Neurospora crassa OR74A: one gene and its partners. The protein of the gene in region 3 interacts with the protein of the main gene of each other region in a biochemical or structural test. Links are inferred from orthologs where the notes say so. Each region holds a gene or a part of one and is shown on either strand. Other genes may lie near its edges. The genes, in order: NCU09076, NCU07839, NCU01793 and NCU09317.

Region 1 (7,457 bases), on a different chromosome or scaffold from region 3:
ACCAGATCCGATTTAATGGAAGCAAAAAGGAAAGAAAGAAAAGGTTTAGAAAACAACAGGAGTCGGAATCCCAGCTGTTATGAGTGATTGGGGAAAGAAAGTTCACTCATGGATCGCTGAGGAGGGGTACAGGTTGATGGAAGGAGGGAATATCAGGCCTCCGCCCGAACAAGTCCCTTCAACCAACGGCCCTTCCATCTGAACCTTGCTTGTTGGATCCCCTGTCCAGCGCAGTTCTTGAACCTGAAGTTTGCGTCCACAGGGCAAAGTGCTGTTCGAGGGTGAACTATCGGACTGCGGCAGTACCTGCACTAACAACTCCCCACCCCACTTTGAAGATAGACAACAGCAGAAGGCACATCCTGTAAAGTGGAAGGAAACTATCGCGGTGATGGCTGGCACGGAAAGAGCTCAGGACTGACGAGGAAGCCATTCCCAAGGCGACTTACTGTATGGGAGCCTGGTTGGTCACGAGAAGAACCCAAGTCCCCCAGGTCTTTGGCCAGTCTTCTCTTTCGCAGAATCAAGAACTTTCCCATATGTTTGGGTCCCAGAAATCACTTTCAAATCATGATTCATTCAGCTCGCCGGTGCTCGGCCACGAGTGCCTTCCAAGATCAAGCAAATCATTGTGAGAGGAACTGAGTGATTGGTGCGAAGAAGTGGACTGCCTAATCCTATCTCAAACATCTTTCAAGCAAGAAAACTTGGTCGAGTAAGCATTTTCTCCAGGTCGCCCTCAGAGAGGTATCCATCCGTGTTTTCGACGATTCCCTTGGGTAAACGCAGGAATTGTTCGGCGGGCGAGAGAGCGGCGAAAGAGAGATCGAGCTTGTTGGCATAGGAAGGGTCGAGGGAATCGAAGGGGTACTTCTCGATGTAATCGGGAGAATAGAATTGGGCGGCAAAAGGTTTGACGCGGGCGTATTCCATTTTGCCCCAGAAGGAAGAGGGGTCTTCGTCGGAGTCGTCGATGGTTTTCATTGTTTTTGTGGGTGGGTGGGTGTGTTGATTGGAGTTATACTGTGTAGGGAGATGTTATTTTTGAGAGATGGACCACTGAATGAAAGAAAATGTATATGAGGGTGGGAGAAGGAGCTGGGAGAACCCCTTTTGTATAAGTCGCGGGAGAAGAAGTTTTGTTGTTGTCGTTGGCGGCATTGTTAATATTGAAATCACGCGCTTCCTATGGGACCACACTGACGCAAAAAACTCGTATTACCTCCAACTACGTATAATTCAGAACTGCAACTGTAAAATAATAAGCCTTGGCAGTTGTTGACAAGGTAACCGATGCGAGAATACGTGTTGATGACGCTGCGTGAGGCTGAATCGACCAAGCTGCCGCGCATCAAATCAGTCTACTTTTTTGTCTCTTGACCATGTCACACACTCACATCTCAATATCCAGATCTTCGAAGCTCTTCCCAAAAAGAACAGGCAGGCTCTTGTTTTGTCCCAGTTATCAGACCCAAGCTACAGTTATCATAACAACAAGCCGAAACGCTTCCGACCTTGTAACAAATAAGAGAACTCTAAGCTTTTCTCCTCTCGGGCCTTTCATAGCTCCGTACGTACGTCATCATTTCCCTTTCGTTTGTTTTTGTTGTGTTTTGGAACCAATCAAGCTTTCCACCAGTTCATGATCAAAGAAGAAACAGGAGAGATAAAGCAGAAAAAATATGGAGAGTTCAGCCTGAGACAAACTTTGTGACCGAGAGCCCTTGACACATTATCCATCCTCAAAGCACGCTACATACTGTCCTTTCTTTGATAAACCGTTTAGGAAGCCATGTAGGTGGAGGCATCGATACCTTCCTTGGGGAACTCACTGTAGCGGGGTTAGTATATGTTTGGTGGACGAAAAAGGTGTGGCGAACTTACGGAAGAGCAACCTCGAAGCGCTTCTCAATAGCCTTGAGGACCTCCTTGTCCTGGTCAGTGGTAACGAAGGAGATGGCAAGACCCTTGGTACCGAAACGACCAGCACGACCGACACGATGGAGGTAAGAGTCGGCATCGGCGGGGAGATCGTAGTTGATGGCGAGGTTGATGCGTTCGATATCGATACCACGACCAAAGACGTCAGTGGCGACGCAGATACGCTTGTTGAATTCCTTGAATTCCTTGTAACGACGGATACTACAAGGAGAGTCAGTAGGCGCCCACACAATGATGTCGGGACAGGTGTACGTACCGCTCCTCCTGGCTCACACCGGAGTGGACAGCGATCGAAGGGAAGTTACACTCGCGCAAAAGCTTGTCCAGCTCGGTAGCACGGAGAGTGCTCTTGACGAAGATGATGACCTGGTTGAACTGCAGCTCGTCGAGAAGCTCGTTGAGCTTGCGGTTCTTCTCGCGCTCCTCAAGAGGAATGTAGTATTGCTGAAGACCGTGAAGGGTCAATTTGGTGTCTTCGTCAACGTAGTGCTCGGTAGGGTTCTGCATGAACTTGCGGCAGATAGGCTTGATCTCGTCCGACAGGGTAGCGGAGAACATCATGACCTGCTTCTGCTGGGGAGTGGCGCGGAAAATCTCCTGAACGTCGCGGCGCATGTCTATTTGGGGGTTAGTGACCATCGGTCGGCTGTTGACTACAACGGGAACTTACCGATCTGGTCGAGCATCTTGTCGCACTCATCGAGAACGAACATGCGGACGCTTCCGAGACGGAGGTGCTTGTCGCGCACCAGGGCGTTGAGACGACCGGGAGTACCGACGATGATGTGGGGATGGGTCTCCTTGTTCTTGAGAACCTCGGCATCCTTCTGGATGGGAGTACCACCGTAGAAGACGCCGGTCTTGATGTCGGGCATGTACTTGCTGAAGCGGTTGTACTCGTTGCGGATCTGGAAAGCGAGCTCACGAGTGTGGCACATGACGAGGACAGAGCACTCGCCGGCGACGGGCTCAACTTGCTGAAGAGTGGTAAGGACGAAGACAGCCGTCTTACCGAGACCGGACTTGGCTTGGCAGATGATATCACCACCAAGCATGGCCTGGGGGATACATGTCTGCTGAACTGTATTCGAGGACCGGATTAGAATCGAGTTACGCAAGCTTTGAATTGGGTACGAAGAAGGACAGGGTGGTATCGAGAGCGAAGGGCCCGTCCATCGTCGCAGCAGCAAAAAGACTTTTTTTTCGTTTATCCGTTCCTCCCGTCGTAGGTGCGTGGTGCCGACATCATATTTGTTCCAAGCATGGATCGAGTGAAGAGACGCGTCTCGTGATGGTGTCACGCGCATTGTAACGGTTCCATGACATCACCAGTCATCAACGACTTAGTATAAAGCGGTCGACGACTCTTTCGAGACCGCAGGGGACAAAGTCTCCCTTGACCGGGGATCCCCCATTGAAGGGCCCAAGGGTGCTTAGCCCGAGGGTGAGCCTTTTGGGGTGATCGCTCTCCGCTCGCCATTGTGCCATTTCCACCTCGGCACCGTGATCGTAGTCGCGTGTACCGGGGTGCCAAGTTCCAGCAGCGCTCGAAGGCGCGAACAGCCTACGCTCGTTTCCGAGACGCAAAGCGTGAACAAAATGATGATGTAGGTCGTGGTGGTGGACGCTAACCGCCAAAGCACCACGTTTCCTCCCCGAGGCGTAATGACGGCAGCGCGCGTTTCGGTGCTCCTCTTCCGACGTGCCAAGTGCCCATGATGACGCAGTATAGTCTTTTGTATTTGCTTGCGATGATGGACGGAACCCGATGTTTGAGGCAGGAGGTGTAACGATAAGCTGGGGGTAAAATTTGTCAGGACTAACCCTCCGAGGGATGCTCGAAGCCGCAATCGGCAATGGCGCGAAGAAGTTCGGGCTTCAGCAGAAAGTCGCGGAAGCCAGTCGAGTGGATGCCGACATAGGAGCCCTTCTTGGTGTCGACAGTCTGGCCGGCGGGGACAGCCTCGGCCTTCTTGCCGTTGGTGGGAGCGGCGGAGTCGTTGTTGAGCTCGTCGTCAGAGTAGTCGATGAGATCTTCCTCGGCGGACATGTTGGCGGTTGTGGTGTTGGTGGTGGTAGTGGTGGGTGAGTGGTTGTGATTAATTAGTGAGAGAGCGTGTCAAGGCTGGAATGTGCGGCTGACGACGACTACGACGAAGGCGACAACAGAAAGCTGGGGAAGAGAAATCCGGTCAAGAGAAAGAAAGTGGAAGATTGCTGGAGTCGAATGAGGTTGCGCAGACCAGTCGAGGCAGAAGGCTACGTGATGCTGCGGAGAAGAAGTGGAGAGGAAAAGAGGCGACGCGCTGATGGAAGTTGGAAGATGTTGAAAAGTCGGAGGGTGCGACGGATCAACGAAAGGTTCCAAAATAAGCAGCAGGTTCAGGTTCCCGTCGCTGCTCCAGTCACGCACACGCACCCGGGGGGGGCGCTGCACCACCGGCCACCACCACCCCGTCGTGACTGTTGGCGTGACCTGGACGAGGCGCAGGCGTGGCCGCCCGCCTGTTGCAGTCCAAAGGCCCAAGGTTTGAGGAGAACGCCAGCTGGCAGTCCGCCTTGTTTCATGAGGCAACTGTGGCTGAGCACCCATGTTGGCATCATACCAGCTGCCCCTGCTCTGGCGGCTCCCGGTCCATGAGTGACGCACTGACCCTTCCGAACACCTTCAGTCACTCCCTTGCAGCGCCGCCCTCATCCACAGTGAATGCCAACTGCATGCCAGTCTTGGCACCAATTGCAAACGACAAAGAACAAACGCTCTTCCACAAACCGTGGATGGACAAAAGCAGCACTCAATAATATCAGCCAAAAAAATAATACCCCAACACAAGAACAATAGAAAACGAGACACAAGACTAGCAAAAATGGCCAAAGGCGGCGGTAAAAACAACGGCGGGGTCCAAAACAGGGCAATCTACTCCCGCGTCTCCTTCCTCCAGCAAGCCGCCGTTTTTCTATCCCGGCAGTCTCAGTCACAACACCAGCAACAACAACAACAACAACAACACCAATCACTCCCGTCTTCCACATCCTCAGCCTTGGCTCCCCTTGTTCCACCACCAACGTCACTAGAAGGCATGTCCCGTCGTCTAGCCACCGACCTCCGCTCCGTGTCCCTCAAGACCCGGATCCGTCTCAGTCCTGCCGTCAAGCGGACCATCTGCAAGTACTGCGACTCGGTTCTTATTGACGGGTCAACATGCACAACGGTCATTGAGAACAGGAGCAAGGGCGGGCGCAAGCCGTGGGCGGATGTCTTGGTAAGGAGGTGTCATGCGTGCAAGAAGGAGAGGAGGTATCCAATTGAGGCGAAGAGGACGAAGCGGAAGACGGAACGCGGGATAACGGGAGAAGACGCGGCTGGTGGGGATGCCATGGAAGTCGATGGCCCTCCTGTTGCCGGAAAGGGGAAGGGGCAGAAGCAACAGGGCCATAAGCAGAAGCAGAAACAGCCGCAGGGTCAGACGGAGGTGGAAGTACGGGAACAGAAAGGATGAATGAGATCGAGGCTGGACGGCGCTCAACATGAGAAGAGCGTCGGTCTCAACCTAGACTTACGCCCAAATAGCACGACAAGCATCATGCTCGAGTTGGTCAGCCAGATGTGTGGGAAAAGCGCCGACGAGGCTGCATGTCCCTCTTCATTGAACACGCCGAGGCCAGGAGAATAGTTGAAGAGCCTAGCCAAGGTGAGGATCTTGGTTACGTCGACTCGGGTCAGGTCCGAGGACATGGCCTGTCGGAGAAAGTCTGGTGGTAACATACCGATCGTAACCAGTTCCGGGACCTACCCCGAGGTCTCGCGAGTAGCAAGCCGTCTTCTACGGCGGGGTGGATTTTTACGATCCAGGGTCACGACAAGGGAGTGTATCCGCTTCAACATCTCCAGACTGGCTAGTAGCGAAGGACAACTGAGGACGTTCTAGCACCTACAAACCTTCTAGCCCGAATTGGAGGAAATCGCAAGAACACTGGTAGAAGCCGTGCTGCCGTGTTAGTCAGACGAACCAAATCAAAACCATATCAGGAAGCCGGCCCTTCACACATATCTACAACCTCCAGTGACTACTCTTTCATGAACATACATCATGGCATGGTATAATTCGTTGCTCTGTTACGCGTAACTCCGTATCCCGTATCATCGTGATTGCTTTGACCGCCTGTTCCTCCTTGCTCCCGCTTGTTCAAACTGAATGTTTCCATAGTTCACAACCCAACCGCAACCTCATCCCCATCTTCCACCACACCCTCACCTTTGCTGCCCACCCTGCCCACCTTGACCACCTTGACCACCACCCTGCTGCTGCTCAACCACCTGCTGAGCCTGCACACTCTGGACACTTTCTTCTCCTAGAACTTTACTCGCTGCCATGAACCTGTATTGTGTGTATCATCATCATCTCGAATCAGTAATTTCTCAAAACTCTTCCAGCTGGTGCAGTGATTTAAGGAAGAGGGAAGAGGGAAGGCAAAGAGAAGAAACACACAAACAAACGGGAAAAGAAGGAAAGAAAAAAAAGAAAGAAAAGAATAAGATGACTTACAATCCACCATGCCAACTCCCCAACCCCCTCATGCACTCTGCCTGCACGCTGGTCATGCGCAAGAGGTTCTCGGTGTCGGCGAGGTTATTGGATAGTTGCGTTAATTGAGCGTGGAGTTGGGACTAGTCAGTCAGTCGGGTTTTGTTAGCTTCTTATTTTCCTCCCTCCCTCCCTTCCTTCCTTCCTTCCTTCCTCTCTTTTTTCTTTCTTCTGGAAAGAAAATAAAAATGGAGAAACGTAGCATGTACAACCATATGATGGATCGAAATAGTCAGAGTGTACGATGACTACAATGTGTAAAAAGACAGGATACGTATAGACATCAGAGTGCAGTGCCACCTAAACACCACAAGCATCCCTTCTCCATCTTCAAGCAAAGGCCGAAAATCAACGAGACGAGACAAAAGAAAGATAAAAAAAAAAAAGAAAAAAAAAGAAAAAGAACACATACAATCTGCCTAGCCTTAACCGCCGCGCCATTCTGTCCAGAAGAAGAAGAAGAAGTCGACAACGAAGCGCCGGCGCCGGGGGCATGCATGGACTGTCGTCCTCCTCCTCCTCCGCCGTAGCCATTACCACCACCACCGTTACCACCACCACCACCGGCACCACCACCGTACCCGGCCCCGCTGCTGATCTGCGTGCCGAAAATGGTGTTGCGGTGGCTTGCCATTGCTAAAGATGTCTCTTTGAGTGGTGGGGTGGGTGGGTAGGGGTTTGTTCACTCAATCGCGTAGGTAGGTAGGTGTGAGAGAATTCCTGTGTCAGGGTAACCGGTTTACAATGGTATCAAGTGGTTAGACGGCTTGTTGGTGCAGTGCTTGCCGAGTGTCTTGTGAGTGTTTGGTTTTCTGGTTTTGTTATTGTTTGGGCGTTTGTTCCTTTCTTGGTGTGGAGGTTTGGGATTATTGTTGTCACCCAAGTCGGCACTGAGTTGCTAAGCACCTCAGCGGAGGCATGTGTAGGTTG
Region 2 (7,290 bases), on a different chromosome or scaffold from region 3:
ATGACAGCTGGAACCATCGAAGAAAAAATCTACCACCGCCAGATCTTCAAGCAGTTCCTGTCAAACAAGGTGTTGAAGGACCCGAAGCAGCAGACCTCATTCAACTTAAATGACCTTCATGACCTGTTCAGTCTAAGCTCGTATGAAGACGGGAAGACCGAGACAGCAGAGCTATTTAAGGGCAGTGAAGTCAAACGCCTGCCTTCAGGACCCACGGAGATAGTCTTGCCTGGTAACGACACGCCGGTTCTCCGGGCCCCTGGAGCCAGCAAACCAGTGGAAGTCAAGGACGAATCCACAAGTGAGGACGAGACAAGCAACCTCCGTCATCTTGAAGGAGTTGCAGGATTGGAAACATTCAACGACGATGGACCGGCCCCTGCACCGAACGAGGAGGACCGTTTGATGGAGGGTATCTTTGCACGTTCTATTCACAGCGCTCTTGAACACGACGAGATCATGAACGGCAAAAAGCCAACGGTTAAGGCAGACCGCAGAATTCTCCAAGCAGAAGCGGATCGAGTTGCTGCTCAAGCGGCCTTGGCTCTCCGCCGTGCGGGTGAGGAAGCCAGAAATGTGCCCATCGGCACGGTCACTTGGACGGGCGAGTACGGCGAAGCTGGTCGTCCGGCGCCCCGTCATGAACGCGGAGGTTTCAGCTCAGTAGGTGTTCGCGGTGCAGCAGGCGGTGCAGGTCCGTCGAGAGCATCGAGACCGGCAACACCGTCTGATAAAAGGAACCTGAAAGCAGAGGACTTTGAAAGAATGATTCCGGCGTTCATTAAACGACATGGTGGCAGGGTCCCATCGAAGTCGCTCGTCGACCACTTCAATCACTATTGCACGGGAGCGAGGCAGGCAGATATGTTCAAAATTGCTCTGGAGAAGGTGGCCAAGTTGGAGAAGAAGGGGTCGAGCATGCGGGGCATTTGGACTGTTCGTCCGGAGTATCATTGATGTTCTTTCGGACGATACACAGATAACGTTCACATTGGCAGCCAGAGGTATAAGGGCGGTTTTGATCTCGAAATTGCCAAGACGGACTGGAACCCTGAATTACATCAATGGATTTGTACAAGATCTAGATGGTGGTCTGAAAAGATTATGGAGGACACTATTGGGGTATGTATGTCTGGGAGCTTACACCTCCTTGGAAGAGAGTGGATGGGTTATCGCGTCGCCTTTTCGTTGCGTTTATGATACCAACGTATGTAACTTTTTTTTTTTTTTTTTTTTAAAAAAACAAAAAAAAAAAAACCAAAAAAAAAAACAAAAGAAAGAAAACACAAAAAGAAAACAAAACAAAACGAAAACCAAGCGTCGGCTTTATTCATGTCCAGTCTTGCCTGCTTAATCAATCGCGTGAATAAATGGCTGTAAAGATTTGGTAACCAACAGACTTAAGGTGCTCTTCACGCTCCAGTATTAATAGTGACTTTTCGCTGCCTTTATCAAATGCACAAACCTCAACTTGAACATGATATCGAGCACGTCTGACAGCGATGTGCAAGCCCAAGAGACTGGAGCCGGAGCCGGACTGAGACTCGGCAATGTTGTCACTCCGGATGCAGTTTCCAATGCCGGCAATGCAACCGATCGGGCGCCACCACCGCTCTCACCAGGAGACTATACAGTGTACAACCGACTAGACGAGCGAATGGACTACTTTGTCTGTGCTCATCCTTTCCTGCACTCTATTCCTCGATATCAGATTGAAGTACAATCACTGTCGCTCGGTGTGGAATACGCTCGACACAGCTTGTACCTGTGACAACGGTAGTCAAGGCACAGCAGCACTGACTGAGCGACAACCCATAGAATGCGGGCTCCGTCACTCGCTACCTAAAAGCTCACCAATCCATCAAAGACTTGCATGGTTTCCTTATAGCAAAGCAAATGCCTCAATTGAGAGCTGCCATCAAGGCCCATAATCGTCAACGTCGTCATCATTATCAGCAGCAGCATCAGCATCGTAAGCGAAACGGAAGAAGAGTATCAGGGGGGGCCAAAGGAGGACATGGAAGAAGCAGCGAACCATGATTTAATCCAGCAACACCGTACCATTCACTTGGGCATGGAGCAGTTCGAAAAGGACCTGAAGAATTGCAGGAGCAAAGAGAAAGCGTTTAGTCTGCTGGTGCTGGAGCGTTTGGATCAGGAGGTGGAGGAGTTGGGGCGGAGAGGAGAAGATGAGTAAGTTTTGGGAGTTTGGAGGGGACGGAGAGATTGCTGTTGTCCGAAAGAAACCAAGAGGGCAAGTCAGGGAAGGGGCTTGAAGGTCGTGAGTAGTGTAGTGATCGAAAAATGTTTCAGGACATGGAAGTGGTGGTTTGTGTTGAGAGAATGTGGCTGATGGTGGTGGACTAGACCAGGCGGTGGTGATGGATTTATTGCCACTCTTTGTGTACGCAGTAGTGTACATCCTGGTCGGCTGCGGAACGGACTGGAAGTTGCTGCTCCCAAAGTCTTCAGATGAGGTGGGAGATGGATGGCAATATGAGGCCTAAGTACGGCTGTATACACGTGTAGAAACATGCTAGCATCGAGCATGGACATGTATGTGAACAGGCAACTCCTATAGAATGTGGTCAAGATTACAGATTCTCTTTTCCGTTCCCTGACAGCTGAGGTGAGCGACGACGGATGATTGCCCAACAACCGCGACGCGCAGCAAAGACTGCCAAGCATAATCCGCCAGTGAAGCAAGAACGAGAACCCTTCTGGCAAAGCGGAGTCGGTGAACCAGGTGACGCCAATTCCCGCAAAGGTGGACTTCTGCCTGATTGATAAGGCCACACATGCCTTATCGGCGCTTTATCTGTGCTTATCTGTGCTTGTCAACAGTGAAAGAATGCAGGCCCGCCAAGTGTTGCCAGTCGGGTCCAGTTTTTTTTTTCTCTGGTGCCAGACCGCCCCTACATGGAAGTCTGGGGGACAGGTACGGCAATGCCCGGTCCCCTCAAATCCGCCTTCGCTGTAACGACTGCAGTGAACTGAAGGGAAGGGAAGAAAAAAAAAATATTTTTCTGGGGCACTTGCACGCAAGGGACGCGTTGCGCCTTCCGCCTCCAACAAAAAGAAAGACTTTTTCTTCCCGCTTGGAGGCGAGTCGGGTCTGGCACAGGATCCGCATCTCACATCCACTAGCACTGCACAGCGGAACCCACCAATCCTCCATCGACATCTCCCTTTGGTCAGGTTCTTTTCCCATACTAACCTTACGTGACGGGTCCTTGTCCAGTGCCCCCAGAGTTTTTTTCGTTTCGACTTCCGTCCAGAAAAACTTGCACTTCACCCTTCGCAGCAGCCCTTTTCTTCCTTCCTTCCACCCACCCTCCATCTCCAATATCCCTTCCCGCCTACTTCTTGCGATTCTGCAAGATTCTTCATCCGCGATCCTTCTTTAACCAGTCGGACTGCTTACTTGTAACCACTTCACGCGTGTCGTTTGGTTCTTGTCTCTAGACGTCTGTCTTTTCCGACGTCTTCTTTTCCCGACAATCGATACCCTTGCGCCTCTAGGCCTTGTTTGCTCGTCGTTTCGGTCTACCCTTCAGCAACCCCAATAACAACCGATCTTCAATTTTCAACCTTTTCTTAAACAACCAGCAAACATGTCCGGATCTTACGGCGGCGGCGGCTACGGTGGCCGCGGTGGCGGTGGTGGTGGATATTCTAACGGGTACGATCGCAATGGCGGCGGCTACTCTAACAACTACTCCTCACACGGGTATGATGTTTTAGCGCGAACCTGCTCATTTCCTCTCTCTCTCTCTCTCTCTCTCTCTCTCTCTCTCTCTCTCTCTCTCTCTCTCTCTCTCTCTCTCTTTGCATTTCAAGATCAAATTGCTAACATCTGGTTCAACAGTGGCTCGAATGGCTACGGAGGCGGCGGCGGAGGATATGGCGGCGGTGGTGGTGGCTACGGAGGCGGCGGCTACGGTGGTGGTGGCGGCGGTGATAGGATGTCTGCTCTCGGTGCTGGTCTGCAGAAGCAGAACTGGGACATGAGCGCTCTTCCCAAGTTCGAGAAGTCCTTCTACCAAGAGCATCCTAGCGTCGCCAACCGATCTCCTGCTGAGGTCGACAAGTTCCGCGCAGACCACTCCATTGCCGTCTTCGGTAACAACGTTCCCAAGCCTGTCGAGACCTTCGACGAGGCTGGTTTCCCTCGCTACGTTATGGACGAGGTCAAGGCTCAGGGTTTCCCTGCTCCTACTGCCATTCAGTCGCAGGGCTGGCCCATGGCCCTTTCTGGTCGCGATGTCGTCGGTATTGCCGAGACCGGTTCCGGAAAGACGCTCACCTACTGCCTTCCCGCCATCGTTCACATCAACGCTCAGCCTCTCCTCGCTCCCGGCGATGGCCCTATCGTCCTCATCCTCGCCCCTACCCGTGAGTTGGCTGTCCAGATTCAGCAAGAAATCTCCAAGTTCGGCAAGTCGTCCCGCATTCGCAACACCTGCGTCTACGGTGGTGTCCCCAAGGGTCCCCAGATTCGCGATCTTTCCAGGGGAGTCGAGGTCTGTATCGCCACCCCCGGCCGTTTGATCGATATGCTCGAGTCTGGCAAGACCAACCTCCGTCGTGTCACCTACCTTGTCCTCGATGAGGCTGATCGCATGTTGGACATGGGTTTCGAGCCCCAAATTCGCAAGATCATCGGCCAGATTCGCCCTGATCGTCAGACTCTCATGTGGTCTGCTACCTGGCCCAAGGAGGTCCGCAACTTGGCCGCCGACTTCTTGACCGACTTCATCCAGGTCAACATCGGTTCCATGGATTTGGCTGCCAACCACCGTATCACCCAGATCGTCGAGGTTGTTTCCGAGTCCGAGAAGCGTGATCGCATGATCAAGCATCTTGAGAAGATTATGGAGGGCCGCGAGAACCAGAACAAGATCCTCATCTTCACCGGCACCAAGCGTGTCGCCGACGACATCACCCGCTTCCTCCGCCAGGACGGCTGGCCCGCTCTTTCCATCCACGGCGACAAGCAACAGAACGAGCGTGACTGGGTTTTGGACCAGTTCAAGACTGGCAAGAGCCCTATCATGGTTGCCACCGACGTGGCTTCTCGTGGTATCGGTATGTATCCATCTTACCCCTCCGCCCTGCCCAAACCCCTCCCCCCTTCTTCTCTCCCCCATCTCAGGCGACTTCCAGCATACGTACGTGCTTGTGCTTTACTCTTATGTCTAGGGGCTCTCTTGATTGCGCGAACTTGCCTGACCTCGTGTCGACTTGGTCTATCTGAGTGGAGTCTTGGGTTCGTGACGTAGCAGAAACAGTGGACTATGCTACGCCCGCGTGATTCTTCAATTGTACCTTTTTATCCCAGTTGTGGTACAAGCGAGGAGTAGGCATTTCTTGATTCCCGTCAAGCTTGTCTCCAAGATTCCCAAGGGGATTTGCATGCATGGCCCAAGGATCTCTGGAACCTTGGATCCCAACCCGGCATATTTTTCGCAATGGACAGCCCACCTGCCAAGGAGAGAAGTACTACCAGAGGATCACAGAACATACCTAGATATTCGTGTTCTCCGTCCGTTCTGGAATGTCGTTATTCCAAACCCTGCTATTGCTAACCACGGTCCTTTAAAAAAAGATGTGCGCAACATTACTCACGTGCTCAACTATGACTACCCCAACAACTCCGAGGATTACATCCATCGTATCGGCCGAACTGGTCGTGCCGGTGCGAAGGGTACTGCCATTACTTTCTTCACCACTGACAGTAAGTGTCACCTGAATCTGCCCATCCTTAGCCGAACGAAATTCTAATGTTATCTCTCCACAGACTCCAAGCAGGCTCGTGAGCTCGTCGGTGTGCTTCAAGAAGCTAAGCAGCAGATTGACCCTAGACTTGCCGAGATGGCTCGCTACAGTGGTGGTGGAGGTGGCCGCTTCGGTGGCTATCGCGGCCGTGGCGGCGGTGGATGGCGCGGTGGTAAGTCATTTTCACGCAGGTGAATTTGGCAGTTCCAATCCTAATAACCCTCATTAGGCCGTGGCGGCGGTGGTGGCGGCGGCTCCGTCGGTGGTGCTAATGCTCTTCCGCTTAACAACCGCCGGTGGTAAAGCACCACTTGAAGCGAATCAGCACATATCAATTGACCTTCCTGGTCCAATCCATTGTCGCCATGGTCATTCCACACGACGAATGGCCCATTACAGCGACAATTTCGACCTCGAACATGATCACGGCGTTTTAGTAGAGGATACGGTCTAGAGGTTGGTTTATTGCTTTCAGACGCTCACTGGTGTCTGTTTTCACCTTGACGTCTAGGTGGTATGGGTGTGGCTTTGTTCTTTTTTTCTCGTATTCCCTTATTGTCATGCTTGCGGGTTACTATTTTCACTGAGGTCAGCCGGGGTTCCAAAATTTTCCTTCATTTTTTCGGAAAGTCTCATCTACAGGTCATGTTGCACCACAACTGCACTTGCAGATCATCAAACTGTCCAGGTCAAGATGGCCGGGTTTTATACCCTTCACCATATCTCGTCATGCCATTGCTCCGTCAAGGCATTATATGACTTATGACGACGGCTTATCAGTCGAGGTGTGAACAAGAGATTTCAACTCTCTTGCTTCCCTAACAGGACGGGCGCAGGCTTCTCGCCTCTCATCCTCGTTGATTAGTGATGATCTTACCGCAGACTTGTGGTAGCAGTCGATAGGTACTATCCTCTGCTTTTTGTGTTGTACAATAGGAAGAGGATCCTTTTCAAAGCATCACGGCTTGAAAGATTTTCGAAGGATCTGTCTAGTCACCAAGAGAGTCAGAGATAAACACGCGCTTTGTTTGCGCCCTTGGGCGCTGCAAGACTACTGCTCACCAGCTGGGTGGGATGTTTACGGTAATTGTCACCGAGAGAGGGTAGTAGAAATGAACTGGGTAGGTCTCCAAAGAAAGATACAGATACCCTTTATGCTTAGATGGAAAAGAACATTTACGCTAGAGGTCTCTGTCCTAGCTCGCTGTCTAAGTGATTGAGGTTGAATGTTTTGAGGTCTACGCTCAAGTAGATGTCTCGCTCAAGTGTGTACCTGTGACGATTTCCCAGAATTCCTAGGGTAATTCAACGATTTGATTATGGAGTGCTCGCGATAAAGCTGTAGGTTTCACGTCGATGAGTCTTCTCTACGAGGTTAGTCCTTCACTTCCATATAGAAGATCAGTATGAACATCTTTCTGATATATGTGTCTCGTAACATTCGACTTAATGCTCTGTACTTTATGTTCGCAGAGTATTTCCTGTTCTACTCTCTCACTCTGAGGTACTGAT
Region 3 (7,501 bases):
GACAAGACGACGGAACGCAGCTTTTCTTCGTCCCAGTCCGCCGAGGTCTCTTGCTTCTTCTTGTCGTCCTCCTCTGCTCGTGTATCTTGGTACAGATTCCTCTTCTCGACCTTGCGCTCTTGCTCCAGGTCGTGGGAAAACTTGCACTTCTTGCCCTTTTCGCAGTTGCCCTTCTTGAAGAAAATGCAGACAACGGTCTTGGGGTCGACACCAAAGGGAACCTTTTGGATCTGGGCGGGCTTGTTGAGAAGCAGATCGGCCTCCCTCTTGGCATCCTCAGCCGCCTTCTTCTCGCGCTCACGGGCCGCCTTCTCGGCTTCCTTGCGTTTCTGCTCAGCGTTTCCGCCGTTCTTCATTGAGGCCTGCAGGGCGGCAATCTGCTTCTGGGCGGCAGAGCCCTTCTTGTTCTTCATGCCGAAGGTCTTGTCTTCGACAGCCTTCTTCTTGCCGGCGGCCTTCGGTTCCTGCTTCTTGGGAGGCATGATGGGCAAATATCGCGATCGGGAACCAGAGAGTAGAGTTTGTGTGTGTGTGTGTGTGTGTGTGTGTGTGTGTGTGTGTCGTGATGCGCAAGTTAATGGATCACGTATGTATGTTATATCGAGTCGCTGTCGCAGCTGGGGTGGTGGCGGCGCGTAGGTTGTAAATAGAGCGTGTTGTCGCAGCGACCTTCAAAAGATTTGCAGACGAAGGCGGGGATCTCGACCAAGTCTTCCTGGAGAGTTTCTTGGAGGCAATTCGAAGTGGGTGGGTTGAAACAACTCTAACCAAAGTGGAATGGGCCCACTGACGCCGCCCGGGATTTAAAGCGCTGGGGTGTCCGCCCACAGAAGCCCTGACGTTGGTCCGGGCAGCGCAGCCGGTATACCTAACGAAAGAAGAGGTCCTTCCTTCAGCTTGGGTCCGTCCACGTGACTATCGGATCCTCTTGTAAATGAACGGATGGAGATGTACCGATACATCGATGCTGCGTCGCGGCCCTCAAGGTGGAAAGCTGTCCATAACACCCGACAATCGGCATCATCACTTTCGAATTTGCGGTCCTCCCGGCGCAGAACAGCCAGTGCGATTGGCATCACCAAGAAAAAGTGAGCACGGCATTTTCTTGTCTCTGTCCAGCCGTCTGATTGACAGCTTTTTGAGCAGCAGAACAGCGCCCTTTGGACCCACTTGAACTCCCCTCCAAGCATTGCGAGTCGCAACAAGTCTACAGCTACCAGTTACGGCACCGAACGAATACCCAACACAGACTTTTCCTACGCCAACGACACAATGATTTCTGACGCCGAACTTTACCGTCTCGCCATCGTTCTCGGGTGCGCGGCCATGGTTCTTATTGTTCTCCACCACTTCCTCGAAACCAATGCCGAAGATCTCGAAACCGATGTTGTCCAGGAGAAGAAGGCAACAAAGGTGGCATCGGCCCCGACCAAGGCAAAATAGGACACAGCGTCCGCAAAATTGTACGGTACGAAGACAGAGACTATATTTCACAAACGGCACGATACAGCTTGTCCCGCCCTTGGGACATCTGGTTGGGGCGAGGCCGAGAAGGACAGGAGACAGACGGCCTACAGAACACTCTCTTCTACTGAGGGCAGAGCAGGACAGAGCTGGTCTGGGGCGCAACCGATATGCAAGGGAAGGGAACCCCGGAATCACAAAAGGAATACAGGGACATAGCATTAGGAAAGTAACGAGGTTTCGGGCCGAGGAGGATTGAATGGGTCAGAGTCGGTTGATACCCCATGGTTGACCCAATGCATAGGAGCAGACTCTTGCACTGGATTTCAGTTTTTGTTCGGATCATGGTGTATCATGTCACCAGTTAAGTAGCAGAAGGGTGCCAAGCGCTCTGGGTAGCATGACTGACTAATAATATGGTTTGTTCTTTTGTTATGTGCAAAGGGGTCGTTCTTTGTTTCCGCTTGTGAAAGAGCTCAATTGCAAACGTCCCTGAAGAAGCAAGTGGAAGCTTGGAGTGTGTGGGATAAGAACATCCATAAACAAGGACACACAGCTCCAAAGGGTCCCTGAAAGTGGTGACGCGTCTCGGAGAGTTGGCTATGTGTCCCGCCATCGCAGGTACCGGTACCATAACAGAACGGCCCAGCTGCGTCAGGAGGGATGGGTCTAGCCCCAAAGAGATTAGCGTACCAATGAGTGCCATCAGCCAAAGCGATTGCCACAAGGCTGTGATTGGCCATGACTGTTCTTTCCCCTTCTGAGCGAAGCCAAAGCGGTGGGGTGGCCAGTGCGGCAAGGATCCCGTCACGTTGGATGTTGTTCAGGACAGGCGCGTGTGGCCGCAAGTTAGTAGTGTATGGGCGGGAGCCTGCTCAGCCTGCCAAGCCTTGACGAAAGCGCAGCGAGGTGGCTCCGGTCCCCGTCGGTTCTCCCTCAAATTCTGGGCGGACACCGGTTTCTACTCCCTCCTCCGCCCCCCCCTCGTTCACCTCTCTCGCCCATTCACCACTTTATCACCCAAACAACACCACCTATTCCCCAACACAACCTACTATCACCGCCAAAGCCAAAGTCCATCACCGATACAGCCCATCCGCTCAAGACCCATATTCTTTTCATTGCTCGCAGGACTGCATCCAACTTCGTCAGCCTGACCACGTCCATTTCCACTTGCCATTCGAGTCGATCAGATCACAGTGTCGCTGCACCTTTTCCGTTGCAGCGCGACCCTTGCTCCGCTTCGACTTCACGCGACCTTGCGCTACCAGCGAGTCGTAACCTGACCTCCCTATCACTCTTCTGCCCAACGCGACCTTCGCCAGCTCTACTGCGCATCTGAGCCCGTCCGCGCTTCCTAATCTCTGAAGCCACCTTGACCACGCGTCTCGTCTTTCTCACCACTTCTAAATCACTTTCCAGCAACCCACCGCCATAATGTCCGGAAAGCTCGACCAGTCTCTCGACGAGATTCTCTCCACTCAGCGCCGCGGTAAGTCCAACGCCCGCGGCCGTGGAGGTCGCCGCTCGGCTGGCGGTAAGCCCACCAATGCTGCCCCCGCTGGCGGTATCCAAAAGAACACAAAGCCCGCTCGCAACGCTGCCAAGCCGGCGCCCGCAAAGAGTGCTGGTCTTACCGGCGAGAGCAAGATTGTCGTGAGCAACCTGGTGAGTCGCGTCCTCCAGCTTTCTCCTGCGTAGCATCCTTCACCGCTAACTCCCATCGCAGCCCAAGGACGTTTCCGAAGGCCAGATCAAGGTATGTTATTACCGATGAGGCCATTTAGCCTTCGGACTTTTATCGACATCCCTCTTCCGTGGCGTATCCAATCGGCGTCGTTTTCTCCACTGGGCGGTCGGGACGGTCGTTTATTGCAAATCGGCCCTAGGCCATCAAGACTGCCGTTGATTGCTCCTCCCTGACGTGTGTCATTACATTTCGTCATGTTGCGAGTTGAGCAGATCGCAGTCACGCTCTCCCCTCCTTATCATTGTGGTGGCTGGCAAGCGCCTCTGGTTCGGAAAGGGACAAGCAGTGCAGGATCCGGCAGACAAATCTTGTATGGGAGCCTAGCTGGGGGGTCATGCATCATCTCTTCCTGGCTGGTCACCTTGAAGTCGATCTTTGCACCCCAGCGCGCCACGCAGTGAGCGATGTTCGAGGCTCTGTTTCTCATGTCCTGGTTGGACGATTTCTGGGGGGTTTTGGTCCATCAGGGGATTTACAACTCCGGGGAACCGGGGTCTAGCATCGTGGTTGTTCGGGAATTCTACGAGAGGACGGCATCACATCAACTGGACCATGCTTGGATTGTCTGGCATAACTGGATCCCTTCACACGTCCTACTGCTTTACGGGCTGTGGGCCCAGACGCATCGGATCGTATGGATGGCTCTAGTGAGTGTTGGATTTTCGGCTCACCTGCCAGTTGCTGGTGTTGCTGACCTGGAGATTACGCGCGCTGCTCTGGCTATATCCTGGTTTTGGGCCGGCTCGAGATAATGCCCTAGCTTTGACCGATTTGAAACCGAACCGTTACGAACACGACCACACTGAAACTGGCGCACGACGCTAACCACGAATTACCCTGTGATAGGAATACTTCCAGCAAGCTATTGGACAGGTCAAGAGGGTGGAACTTTCGTATGGGCCCGGAGGCACTAGCCGCGGTATTGCTCATATTACCTTCCACCACGCCGATGGTGCTACCAAGGCGTACAACACTCTCAACGGTCTCCTGATTGACAACCGCCCGGTCAAGGTACGCTCATTCTCCATTGTATGAATCTTCTGGTTCTGGCTTTTCTAACGTTCCCCTAGGTCGAGGTCGTTGTTTCCAATGCCGAGTTGATCCCTCAGCCCAAGAGCCTGACTCAGCGTATCACACAGCCCAAGGCCCAGCCCAAGTCTGCCGCCACTGTCAAGCATGCCGCCAACGCCCCCAAGGGTGCTGCTGCTGCTAAGCCTGGCAGCAAGAAGGGTCCCCGTCGCCCTCGCAGCGCCCGCCCTGCCAAGAAGACCGTCGAGGAGTTGGATTCTGAGATGGCTGACTACTTCGAGAGTGGCACCACGGACAACGCCACCGGAGCCGCGCCGGCCGCTGCCAACGGTGGTGATGCTCCCATGGAGGACGAGATTCTTTGAACGAAGGGTATGCATGAGGAACAGCAACAGTCGATGAGAGCGAATGCCAGCTTCAGCGACAACTTTGTTTGACGGATTTCGGATTGTCTATGATTGTTTTACTATTTTATTTCGGGTTCGGGCAGGGTCTACAGCTTAGGTCAACAGCTTGATGAAATTTTCTCCAGACTCACGACGACCTTCAATTATCGCCTCTCCACTATTATTCTATTAGCGAATGCTGTATGACCTGCGACTGGTTCGCCGCGACCTACCATCTCGCTCCTGTCGTTTACGGTCCCTCTGATGGAAGATGGATTGCGGCAGGACACGTCTGCCAAAGGGCCAAGGGTCACAATTTGGTGTTGTTATCAGCACTTTGTCACTTATCCTTTGGTCGCCTGTTAAGCGTCTTCCCCTCCCAGTACCCCAAGGCGATGAATATAATTTCGAACAAATAGCTCGCCTCTGCTACTAAATTGTTGGAGCGCAACGGACATATATGTCAGCGAAGCGGGAGCAATATCCACAGTGGTCCTTTTCACATCGCAAGTCACGACCAAATCTAGCATGCGCAGGGCGTTGCCTTTCTGTACTTTACAGAGAGCTACACCTGCGGAGGGTAAATTGTGCATCCCAAGACCAGAAGAGAAAGCTCAAGCAGCTAGATCAGCGTGGATCGAGGACCCTCGAGCGCTTCCGGGCAAGAAAAAGGCGGAAGTTAATGTCATAATGCCCCGAATTCTGCCACGAACGTAAACAGTGCTTCACGTGCTGATAAGAGGGCACCCTTTCCTGCCATTCCTCCGCGATTCAGCAAGCCGTAGTTCCTCCTCATTCACACACGGCAGTAGAACTACAACCACACTTCTGCTATTTGTCCTTCTCCTTTCCCTTATCCTTCTTCTTCTTCTCCATCTTCCTCAGCTTCCTCTCGCAGTTCTTGCACACCACGGCTTCGGTAACAGTCTTGCTTTCGATGCCTGCCGCGCAGTGTCCCAAATGCTCTCCTCTGTATTTTGGTTTGCAAGGGCTTTCTGTCGATCGGCCTTGCACGAGCTCGTCACACGAGGTGCAGTAGGAGTCGACAAAGTGTTTGGTACACATCTTAGTTTGTAATTGGTTGGTGTGCTGGAGGGTAGTGGTGGTGGTGGTGGTGGTCTCAGAGACGTAAGAGGCGGTGGAAGTAAATGCGCATGGGCTGTAAATTGGTTTCCTAGAATTGTTGCTCAAATACTCCCTAAATGAAGGGCGGAAGTTTTGACAAGAGCGCAAGGATGGATACAAATGTTTGTAGTAATACCTGTAATGTTTTGCAGCAAGACTTGCGAGTATTCAGTGGATGCTATTGTCTCTCTCAGTAAAATAGCCGGTTCATTCTTGGTGGAATCGCCAAGGGTGGGTGACTTGTGCGAGTCCGTTCGTGAATAGGGTTAAGGTGTCAAGTACAATACTGCCTTGGCTTGGTAGTCTTGAATTACTTCTAATGCCCGTCATCTTTATTCTGAGATTGCAGAGCGGTGTTGACCAAGAGGGTCCAGACGGGCTGGTACATACAGGTCACTCGCCACTCGAGGGTTCCTGCGTAGGGATGGATGGTGTATGTGTTGGTCGAGGTCCATGATGTAGGTTGAGGAAGTTCTCTGAGGGTTTGTCGTTCGTTCGTACTTGGCCACCGATTATTATTGGGGTAATAACACGTCGTAGTGTAGAGATGGAAACGTGTTGGCTGGGTATAAACCGTATTCCCATCTATTTTGTTCTTTTTCTTCTCTTACTGCAATGACCCCCCCCCCCCCAATTCCACATGACCTACCTGTCACGAGAGCCATCAGAACCAGTTCAACTCTATCCGCTCTGGGAAGGTTTGCGAAGCTCTTGCTACATGAAATGAATTAACCACTTGGTGTTATTGGCTTGACAAGCTCCATTACATGCAACTAAGTATGCTTATGACCATCTGTTGAGCTGATACCAAAGCATCCTCTGTCGAAAGTCGTGATAATGGTGACTGGTAACCTGTCTAGCAGGCACTGTCAAGCACATAATCAATATTTGCCATTCCCAAGTAAGCTCCGTTATGTCACATTTCCCCTATAACTGTGTAATCCCCTCCCCACTTCCGTTCCTATGTCCGTTTAACTTTCCACGAGCACCGTCGTCCTAAAAATGACCAAAACGCCCTGTCTCCGACATGTACGATATCCCCCTCTGGCCAACCAATTCTACCTCCCACATACGCTCTCAGATTTTTGGAGCAATCCACTCCTCATCAGCCGGCCAAGCCAAGATAGATGCTCCCATCTGTGCATCCCTCGCGGCCTCTCCAGCTGTATAGGAAGCCGATGCTGATGAAGGTGACGATGGGGAGGAGGAAGAGCGGCTGCTGGCCGCGCTGGAGGTGGTATTGATGGTGATGGTAGGGCCTATACCTGCGAAGCTGGAGGCGGTGCTCGAGTATGGCGATGACGTCGAAGAATGGTGTGGGTGTGAGCAGTGAGAGAAATGTGAACCACTTCTGCTGCTGGTGGTGATGGTGCTGAAGTTGGAGGAGGATGAGCTGCGTCGGGAGGAGGAGGTGGTAGAGGTCATGTTTGGAACTGGGCGGATGTAGTTGCTGTGGTTTTAGGGTTTGTTCTTGCCTGGTTTTGGTTGTTGGGTTTAGGTTATTGTTTGTTTTGTCTTGAAGATGACAGTAGCGAAGATCGAGTGACTTGTTGCTGACACTTGGAGTTGGAGGTTGTGACTTGATAGGTGTGACTTCGGTCTGTGAACTGGTGTAAGTGACCTGGCGTTGGGAGGACAGTGTGTTAATTATGATTATTGAGAGAATGATGATAAAACCGGGAAGAACAGGGAAACGACAGAAACAGAGGACATGAATATTATAGAAAGTCGTATACGAGGCTGTCAG
Region 4 (7,269 bases), on a different chromosome or scaffold from region 3:
TAGCGGGTGGTTTGGCTGTCTTAGCTCCAGCTTGACCAAAGAAAGAAGCCTTGATGAACCCTGTTTCAACACCGTCAGGCATGTTGAACTTCTTCTTTGCCGGCTTTGTCCTCATTCTTGCGGCAGATCTTTTTGGTTCTGGGAGCTCTGGATTTTGGGAGTTCTCAAGTGGAATCTCCACAACCTTCTTTTCCACCTCAGGTCGTATGTCTCGTGGCACAATACGTGAAGAAAGGTCGTGACGAAAGGTAAAGCGGCTGCCCTCGCATATCATTCTCTGCATGGTCGCGTAGTTGTCCTTCGCCTCGTTGAATTTGTCTTCCTCTTTCCCTTTCATCAACAAAAGTACAATGTTACCCGCTCTCTTGCGGCCGGTACGACCCATACGCTGAAGCATTCGGATCGGTGACGCTGATGCATCGTAGCAGACAATGAGATCCACTTGGCCAATATCAAGACCCTCCTCGCCAATGGATGTTGCGACCAGAACGTTGTGAGCGCCGTTCTTGAACTTCTCGATCGTCTCAATTTGTTGTTTCTGTTTCATGCCCTCACTCCTCTTCGAGTCCGCTTGTCCAACGAAGACTGTGGCCTTGATAAGGGGTTGCTTGTTGAGAATGCGCACAATCTCTTCGGCACTGTCTCGGTATTCACTGAATACAATGGCTCTGGTATTGGAGCCCTCGCCAGCATCCATGAAGTGGTTGACCAGGGTCTCACAAAGATATTCCAGCTTGGGGTGTCCGAGGAACCCATCAATCTTCATCCAACCCTCAATCATGTCCATCATCTTCTGAAAGTTCTCATCCTCCAAGACTTGCCGCTTGAGCTTTGACCCTTTTCCTCCTTTCTCCTCCTCGGTGGTGCGGAATTCGGCCAGATTATTGTAGAACGGTTTGATTCCATGGAAGTTGAGTAGTTTGATGGAATGCGCCAAACTCTGGAGAATCGCAAATGTGGCTATGACACTGAATTTGGTTCCTTGGTTTACGTGCCTACCCGGACCTGCCATCCAGTCATTCCTGGCTTTCATCAGGCCGTAGGTAGTCAGGCTCATGGGGTCCCTGCCGTAGTATATATTTTGTGAACTCAGCTTGGTCACAAGGGGCTTCAGGGCCTTGGAGAACAAGTCTCTGACTTCCATCATTTCGTCAGAGGGGTCGAATGTTATCGTGTTGATGTCTCTTGAGTGCACATATTGACGAATGTCGATTGACTCTTCGGTTCTGATCTCGACGTGAGAAATGCCCAGATTATCAATGACGTCCTGAACACCTTCGAGAGACGATCCTGGTGTAGCAGTCAGAGCAAGAATTCGAAAGCTCTTGGAGAAACGCCTTAAAAATTCGACCACCTTGACGTATGCATAGTCTCCAGTCGCACGATGCGCCTCGTCAATAACCAGCAGTACGATGGACTTGGGATCGGCATAGCCCTTGGAAAGGTCATTCATTAGTGTTTGGGGTGTCATGAAGAACAGGCGCTTTGTTGCCCATTCGTCCTCACGTAGAACAGGAGGAGTCTCTCCGGTTAGGAGAGTCGCCTGAGATCGCGGGATGCCCGCTATGCTGAGACATGCTTGAACTTGTTGTGAAGCAAGGGGTTTCGTAGGAGCAACAAAGACAGCCTTTGCGGTTTTTGTCCAGCGGATGTAGTTTAGCATGATTGTCGCAGCAATAAATGTCTTTCCCAAACCCGTGGGGAGGGCGACCAATGTGTTGTTGAAGAGGCCATTTTTGACAATGCTGAACTGGTAGTCTCGAATAGGTCCCAGATTCATCGGATAAACCCATGTTTTCATTTCTTCTATGTCAATCTCATGGTGAGTGGGCTGCTCTGGGGGCATATCGGCACGGAATGGTCGATTCGACACCGCTTGCGGGGCGGGTTGCGCATCCTCCTCCAGCGTGCCACCCCATAGTGTCGTCTGACGCAGATTCTTACGCTGGCTGGACTGAGCTAGGGACGGGCGAGACGTTGTCGCTGACGTGGTCGGCTTGCTTGCTGTTTTGGCACGCCCTGTAGCTGTAGCCTGACCCTGCGATACGGTTGGAGTAACGATTCGTCTTGCAGAATCGGATATTGGCCACGCTTGTGCTGGTGGTTTTGCCGACGAGGCAAGCTGCTTGCTGTTGCTGGGGTGATGTGATGTGATGTTGCCGGTGGCCTGGGTGAAGGCCAACATCAAATCCTCATCAGGAATATCGTCAAAGTCATCGTCATCCATGACTTGAGAGTTGTGAGGTTGTAGAAAAGAAAGAACCTTGACGATTCGAGATTCGATGCGCCGATGCTTGGGCAGTTAATACAACCGGACTTTGTTTTCTTGCCTTTTTTTTTTAAACTTCTTGTTCTGGTGATGAAACTTAAGGCTTGTCGGATGAAATTCTTGGAAGTGAAACAATTGACATTCATAACAGTCCGTTTGCATAGGTGAACCGACCCTATCGTCACACAAGCCCGGCCTGATATGAGACGCGTCGCTGTTTTAATGGACGGGCTATTCCCTTGACACGTTCCATCGCCATAGCACGTGAATTGGTGTGGGCAGTCTGGGTGCTGCCGCCTGGGGAGTTCGCAGCAGAACAGCGTCAGAGTGGGGCTGTTGCATCTTGGGTGGGGCAGGTTTGCGTCAAAATCCGATCGCTTGTCTCTGTGGTCCGCTGGAGCCTGGCGCACTGGTCGGAGCTTGGCTCATTGCCTTGAGTTCAAGTTGCATGCTCCTCCACTGCCGCCGCTAAGGTATTTCCTTTTTGGAGGTCCGGCAGGCTGAACCTTCTTTCTTCCATTCTCCAATCCGTCATCGAAACCTTCCTCATTTCTCGACCTTCTCGCGTCGTCAGTTGGCATCGGCAGCCCAACAAACTCTTCAGTACTGACCGGCTGATGACTCTTGCGCATCCTCGTACTCGCCCGTTGCTTCAGAGCTAGCAGCTTCCGTACGCATATTCAACCAACGATCACGAGCGAAGCGGCGGCCTTCTACTTCTACTTCCGTACCTTTGGATCTCCGCGTCGTCTTTGTCGCCCCACCTCCAAGCATCTTTTACATCTTTCTTTACCTCGACAAATCCCTTTAGAGAAGCGCACCTAGACTCTAAGCGAAGTGTCCTTTGACACCTATCTGGGCCACTCTCAAATACAGCGTCCCAAATCCACCCAGCGGTGATCAATCCCCGGTCGGCATCGGCCGCCTGTTTTTCTTGAGCAGGCCGCTCTCCCGCCTAACGGCGACACCAAAGGTAAGCCTCGACTCTGCATCTTAGTACCCTTCCCCAGTTCCCCCGACCACGACCGGAACTTTGACCATCGGGGCAGCGAAGAAGTCGGCGAACAAGGACAACTCGCAACTCCACGACTCACTGTCCTTTCATCAACAACTCGGCGAGAAAAAAAAATCACCCGCAACTCACACCGAACGTTTTCTCTTCAGAATTCAACGAACAACCATGGCACCTCCTACTGGTCCTCGCGCCGGAACTGGAAGGGCTCCTCCTCGTGGACCCCGAGCAACAGGCGGCGGTGGCGGAATCCAGAAGCGTCGCGCAAACCCGAGGACGGACCGAGATGGAGATGTGTCAATGGATGCTCCGGCTGGTGGCTCTGGTAGGGGTGGGTTGGCTTCCGGTGGTCGAGGACGTGGCTCCAAAGATGCTCGAGGTGGAAGAGGTGCGGTGAACTCCCGGACAGCATCCCGGGTCGTGCAGAACCTACAGAACTACGTCAGCGGAGGTCCCGTCGGCAAAACACAGTCCAATATGGCCACACTGAAGATTCACGGTATGAGCAATAGCAAAGCTACCGGCAATCGCGATGGAGGGCTTCGGTCACTTCTCACCTTTCTGGAACGAAAGGCTTCCAAAGACAAAGCAGTTACAATCGGCAAGGTATACTTTCCCATCCACCGACATCCCCAAGCGCGCAATATTCTGCAACTGCGATAACCGACACCTTCTAACCCATCGATAGAGTATAATGGACGGCGATTATGTGTGGATCACGGTCAGAAAAGATGACGCCCCGGAGATCTTGAGGCTCAATGGCTTCACCTATGCCGGTGCACCCCTGACGATTACGGAAACCACCGAGAGGATGCCTCGCCCCGAAGACAAGATTTCCAAGGCTGCTGAGGAGACCAAACAAAAATTGACAGCAGTGCTAGCTGCGCGCTACAATCCAGAGTTGAAGCTGCTTGACTTATCTTCTCTTGGAACCGATCCCATCCTCAGCAGCATGGGCACGTTTGATTCCAAGGATCGGGCCGAAAAGGCCTTCAAGGTCTTGGTAGTTATTGCTAGTCAGCAGTACAAGACCGCTGCCGAAAAGCGTGAAGGGATACAGGCCATTTCCCTTGCTAGCAACGGCCTTAACGACGTCATGCAGGTTTTCACGCTTGCTACGTCACTTCCAGATATCAAGAGACTTGACCTGAGCAGCAACAACCTCGACAGTCTGTCCAAGATCTCCAAGTGGCAGCACCGCTTTCAGTACCTCGAAGAGCTTCATCTCACAGGCAACCCCATCACCACCCAGCCCGACTTCGTGGCAGAACTCATCAAATGGTTCCCATCGCTACAGAACATCAACGGACAAATTGTTCGCAGCCCACAAGAGGTTACTGAGGCCCTCAAGGGCATGCACCCCACGCCACTACCGCAGTTCCCCTCCAACCTACGGGACGGGGAGGCCAATGTGGCGAGCATCTTTGTCCAAGTTTTCTTCCCCATGTTCGACAGCGACAGAGCTCGCCTCGCCGCTGAGTTCTACGACGACGACTCGTGGTTTTCGATTCAAGCCATTGCCAATTCTGGTCGTAATCTTCCTTGGAAAACTTACCTCAAATACTCCCGCAACGTTCACAAATTGGGAGAGAAGAATCCAGCAACGGTACAACGTCTCTTCACCGGAGGAAATCTCATTGCGGACATGTGGAAGGCTCTCCCCAGTACTCGCCATCCAAGCATGGAGAACCCTGGTGCCTGGCTCATCGACTGCCACACCTTCCCCAACCTCGCGGACCCCACCGGCCACGGCTTCGCTACGGGATTGCTCATCACCGTCAATGGCCAGTTTGAAGAGTCCGATACTACAGAAAACCTCTACGGAAAGCGCACCTTCACGCGCACGTTCATTCTTGGACCCAGCAAGCCGAGCAACCCGCCGCCGGTGCACCCATACCGGGTTATTAGCGATCAACTCACCCTTCATGACTGGACACCCGCGGAGACACCTGCTGGTCAGGCCCCTGTCGCCAACCAGGTCCCGCAGGTTCCGGTTACCAACGCTGTGCCTCCAGCAGAACCTGTCATGTTGGATGATGCCACGAAGAACCAGCTGATTCAGGAGGTGATGAAGCGGACTGGCATGACAGCAGAATACTCAGAGTTGTGTCTCAGTGGCACTGCCAACTGGAACTTTGAGCTGGCACTCAAGTCATTCGAGGAGCAGAGGGCGAACTTGCCGCCCACGGCCTTTATCAACGCTGTCTAGGGGACAGCGCAGGTCACCAGCGTCAGCATGGTTTGTTAGTTCATGGTGGATCAGCGCTAGTTGGGTAAATACCCTCTGCCTGGATGAGTTGGAGACAAAGGAAAAGGAAGACAAAAACTACTGAAAGCCAAGGAACGAAGACTGGGAAAGAGGAAAGGGTTTAAGGGTCAAGGATGAACTTTGTACAATACTTGCATTGCCATACTATCTCAAGGGAGCAACGGAATGGGTCGGTTAGCGGAATTCTTATAAGGCGGTCACTCGACTTGATATTGCGGAAACTTAGCGTGCGTTAACAATTGAGATACCTGGAGCTCTTTTGGGCTTTGACCAAAGAGTCTCCCACATTCACGGTTTTTTTTCATCTAATTATAATCTCTTTTATTAATATTTTCTCCTATTTGGGTGAGGACGCTTACGGAAGATGCTCGAGCGTAATTGGTACACAACGTTCATGCTGGTCAGGCCCAGTAGCTTAACCACCGTGAAATTGGTAACCACGGTTGTGATAAAGTACGAGATCACACAGCTAATAAGATCTCGAAGCCGCGCGCCATTCTTGGCGATTGGGGTTTGGTGGTGAGCATCTGATTGTTGGTTTCCCCATCATGCGACGTTTCTTGAATCGCTGCTCCACTGCGGCCACTGCCACCCCGGCAGTGGATCGGTACCTGCATCTGTCGATCTTTCATAGGGCGGCTTTGGGAGAAAAATGCTGAGTGGTCCTGGTACGATGAGCAGTCATCATCACCTGTTTGGCCTCGTCCAATGGGCGCCGGCAAGAGTTTTATCGGATGAGGGGTAGTATGGGCGCTTACTTGTATTGATCTTGGTTGTTACGACTTACGATGGGGAAACAATCATGTTCGACACTTGAACCTGAGTGAGAGCCAGGAATAAATTTTCCGTTGAGGATTGGCTTTTTCTACGCTTTTCGCTTTTCGGCGATCGGTTAGGTGATCGGTTATCTATCATCAGTGGGAGTGATCGACATTTCATATGCTGGCTAAAGGTATGTGATCGATTAGATGAAAGACGACCAAGCGGATGTGAATACTTATATAATCGCGGGAGTTGCGACTTGTCATCCTTCAATTGAAGCCTTGTGTTGAGTAAGTGTGAGGTAAGGTAGTTTTCTCCAGCCAGAACCCATCACTGCATTCCAATGGTCGGCGAAAGTTGAGTTTCTATTGATCCTTTCCGTACGCCAGGACGCCATTCCTCGTCTCGCATTGCATTCTCGCCCACAACATGCGGCACATATAAAAACGTGTGTGACAAGTGTGCGTGTGCGTGACTGCGAGAGACGTGACCAAGTAGATACATGTGGGGATTTTGTACCTCAGTCTTGCTTGTTGTAGTGTAGGTTTGCTGCTGGGTAGGTGGATGAGAACAATCTCAGAGACTTCCTTTATCCTAATTCAAATAGCGATAGTTAGAAAGTATACGGACAAGAGAAGGCATCGGCCAAGATGCAGTTGGGCAGCGTAGAAACAGAAGCGCCTTAGCACTTGGCCACCATTCTCAGATTCCACAAAAACAGAGAGAAAACATGGAGTTGTTTACTTATCACATTCCCCTGGCAACTCAGAAATTTGCGCGCAAGAAGCCTGTGGGAAGATGGCATATTACCGCGCTAACTGAGGAATTTGAGATGGCGCCCATCCATTCCCACTCCGTGTTGCCCCATGTGATGAATGCAAATAACTTGAATTTTGTTATCGCACTTTTCGATGGAAGATTGGCTAGAAGCACACGACTTGGCTATGATCTTACAAC

The links.
Region 1: the proteins of NCU01793 (region 3) and NCU09076 form a complex in vitro, tested with the Saccharomyces cerevisiae proteins (4 studies listed by BioGRID, with this or other methods). The link is inferred for Neurospora crassa OR74A from reciprocal best matches to the Saccharomyces cerevisiae genes YRA1 and SUB2.
Region 2: the proteins of NCU01793 (region 3) and NCU07839 form a complex in vitro, tested with the Saccharomyces cerevisiae proteins (2 studies listed by BioGRID). The link is inferred for Neurospora crassa OR74A from reciprocal best matches to the Saccharomyces cerevisiae genes YRA1 and DBP2.
Region 4: the proteins of NCU01793 (region 3) and NCU09317 form a complex in vitro, tested with the Saccharomyces cerevisiae proteins (3 studies listed by BioGRID). The link is inferred for Neurospora crassa OR74A from reciprocal best matches to the Saccharomyces cerevisiae genes YRA1 and MEX67.

What each region holds. Positions count from the first base shown.
Region 1 is NC_026501.1:765,990-773,446, forward strand, and holds NCU09076 (ATP-dependent RNA helicase), read right to left. Parts: upstream 4,384-7,457; 5' UTR 3,992-4,383; coding exon 3,766-3,991; intron 3,023-3,765; coding exon 2,612-3,022; intron 2,559-2,611; coding exon 2,198-2,558; intron 2,143-2,197; coding exon 1,885-2,142; intron 1,832-1,884; coding exon 1,783-1,831; 3' UTR 1,204-1,782; downstream 1-1,203. Other genes in the region: NCU09075 (hypothetical protein), read right to left, coding at 694-984; NCU09077 (Rpr2 domain-containing protein), read left to right, coding at 4,809-5,420, 5,513-5,704; NCU09078 (hypothetical protein), read right to left, coding at 6,194-6,320, 6,489-6,610, 6,940-7,161. UniProt on the Saccharomyces cerevisiae protein: ATP-binding RNA helicase component of the TREX complex involved in transcription elongation and required for the export of mRNA out of the nucleus. SUB2 also plays a role in pre-mRNA splicing and spliceosome assembly.
Region 2 is NC_026503.1:1,034,559-1,041,848, forward strand, and holds NCU07839 (ATP-dependent RNA helicase dbp-2), read left to right. Parts: upstream 1-2,910; 5' UTR 2,911-3,614; coding exon 3,615-3,730; intron 3,731-3,868; coding exon 3,869-5,088; intron 5,089-5,608; coding exon 5,609-5,737; intron 5,738-5,800; coding exon 5,801-5,950; intron 5,951-6,007; coding exon 6,008-6,081; 3' UTR 6,082-6,963; downstream 6,964-7,290. Other genes in the region: csb (DNA repair protein Rhp26/Rad26), read left to right, coding at 1-957; NCU07838 (hypothetical protein), read left to right, coding at 2,018-2,193, 2,530-2,581. UniProt on the Saccharomyces cerevisiae protein: ATP-dependent RNA helicase involved nonsense-mediated mRNA decay and ribosome biogenesis through rRNA processing. Associates directly with chromatin, correlating with transcriptional activity.
Region 3 is NC_026502.1:2,391,627-2,399,127, forward strand, and holds NCU01793 (RNA binding domain-containing protein), read left to right. Parts: upstream 1-2,416; 5' UTR 2,417-2,901; coding exon 2,902-3,132; intron 3,133-3,193; coding exon 3,194-3,223; intron 3,224-4,060; coding exon 4,061-4,225; intron 4,226-4,284; coding exon 4,285-4,608; 3' UTR 4,609-5,460; coding exon of another isoform or gene 5,461-5,827; 3' UTR 5,828-5,948; downstream 5,949-7,501. Other genes in the region: NCU01795 (zinc finger containing protein), read right to left, coding at 1-482; NCU01794 (hypothetical protein), read left to right, coding at 1,273-1,443; NCU16554 (hypothetical protein), read right to left, coding at 5,461-5,827, 6,145-6,209; NCU16555 (uncharacterized protein), read right to left, coding at 6,832-7,179. UniProt on the Saccharomyces cerevisiae protein: RNA-binding RNA annealing protein. May have a role in pre-mRNA metabolism. Component the TREX complex, which operates in coupling transcription elongation to mRNA export.
Region 4 is NC_026501.1:4,263,359-4,270,627, forward strand, and holds NCU09317 (hypothetical protein), read left to right. Parts: upstream 1-2,715; 5' UTR 2,716-3,242; intron 3,243-3,318; 5' UTR 3,319-3,449; coding exon 3,450-3,887; intron 3,888-3,969; coding exon 3,970-5,490; 3' UTR 5,491-5,875; downstream 5,876-7,269. Other genes in the region: NCU09318 (ATP-dependent DNA helicase mph-1), read right to left, coding at 1-2,227. UniProt on the Saccharomyces cerevisiae protein: Involved in the export of mRNA from the nucleus to the cytoplasm.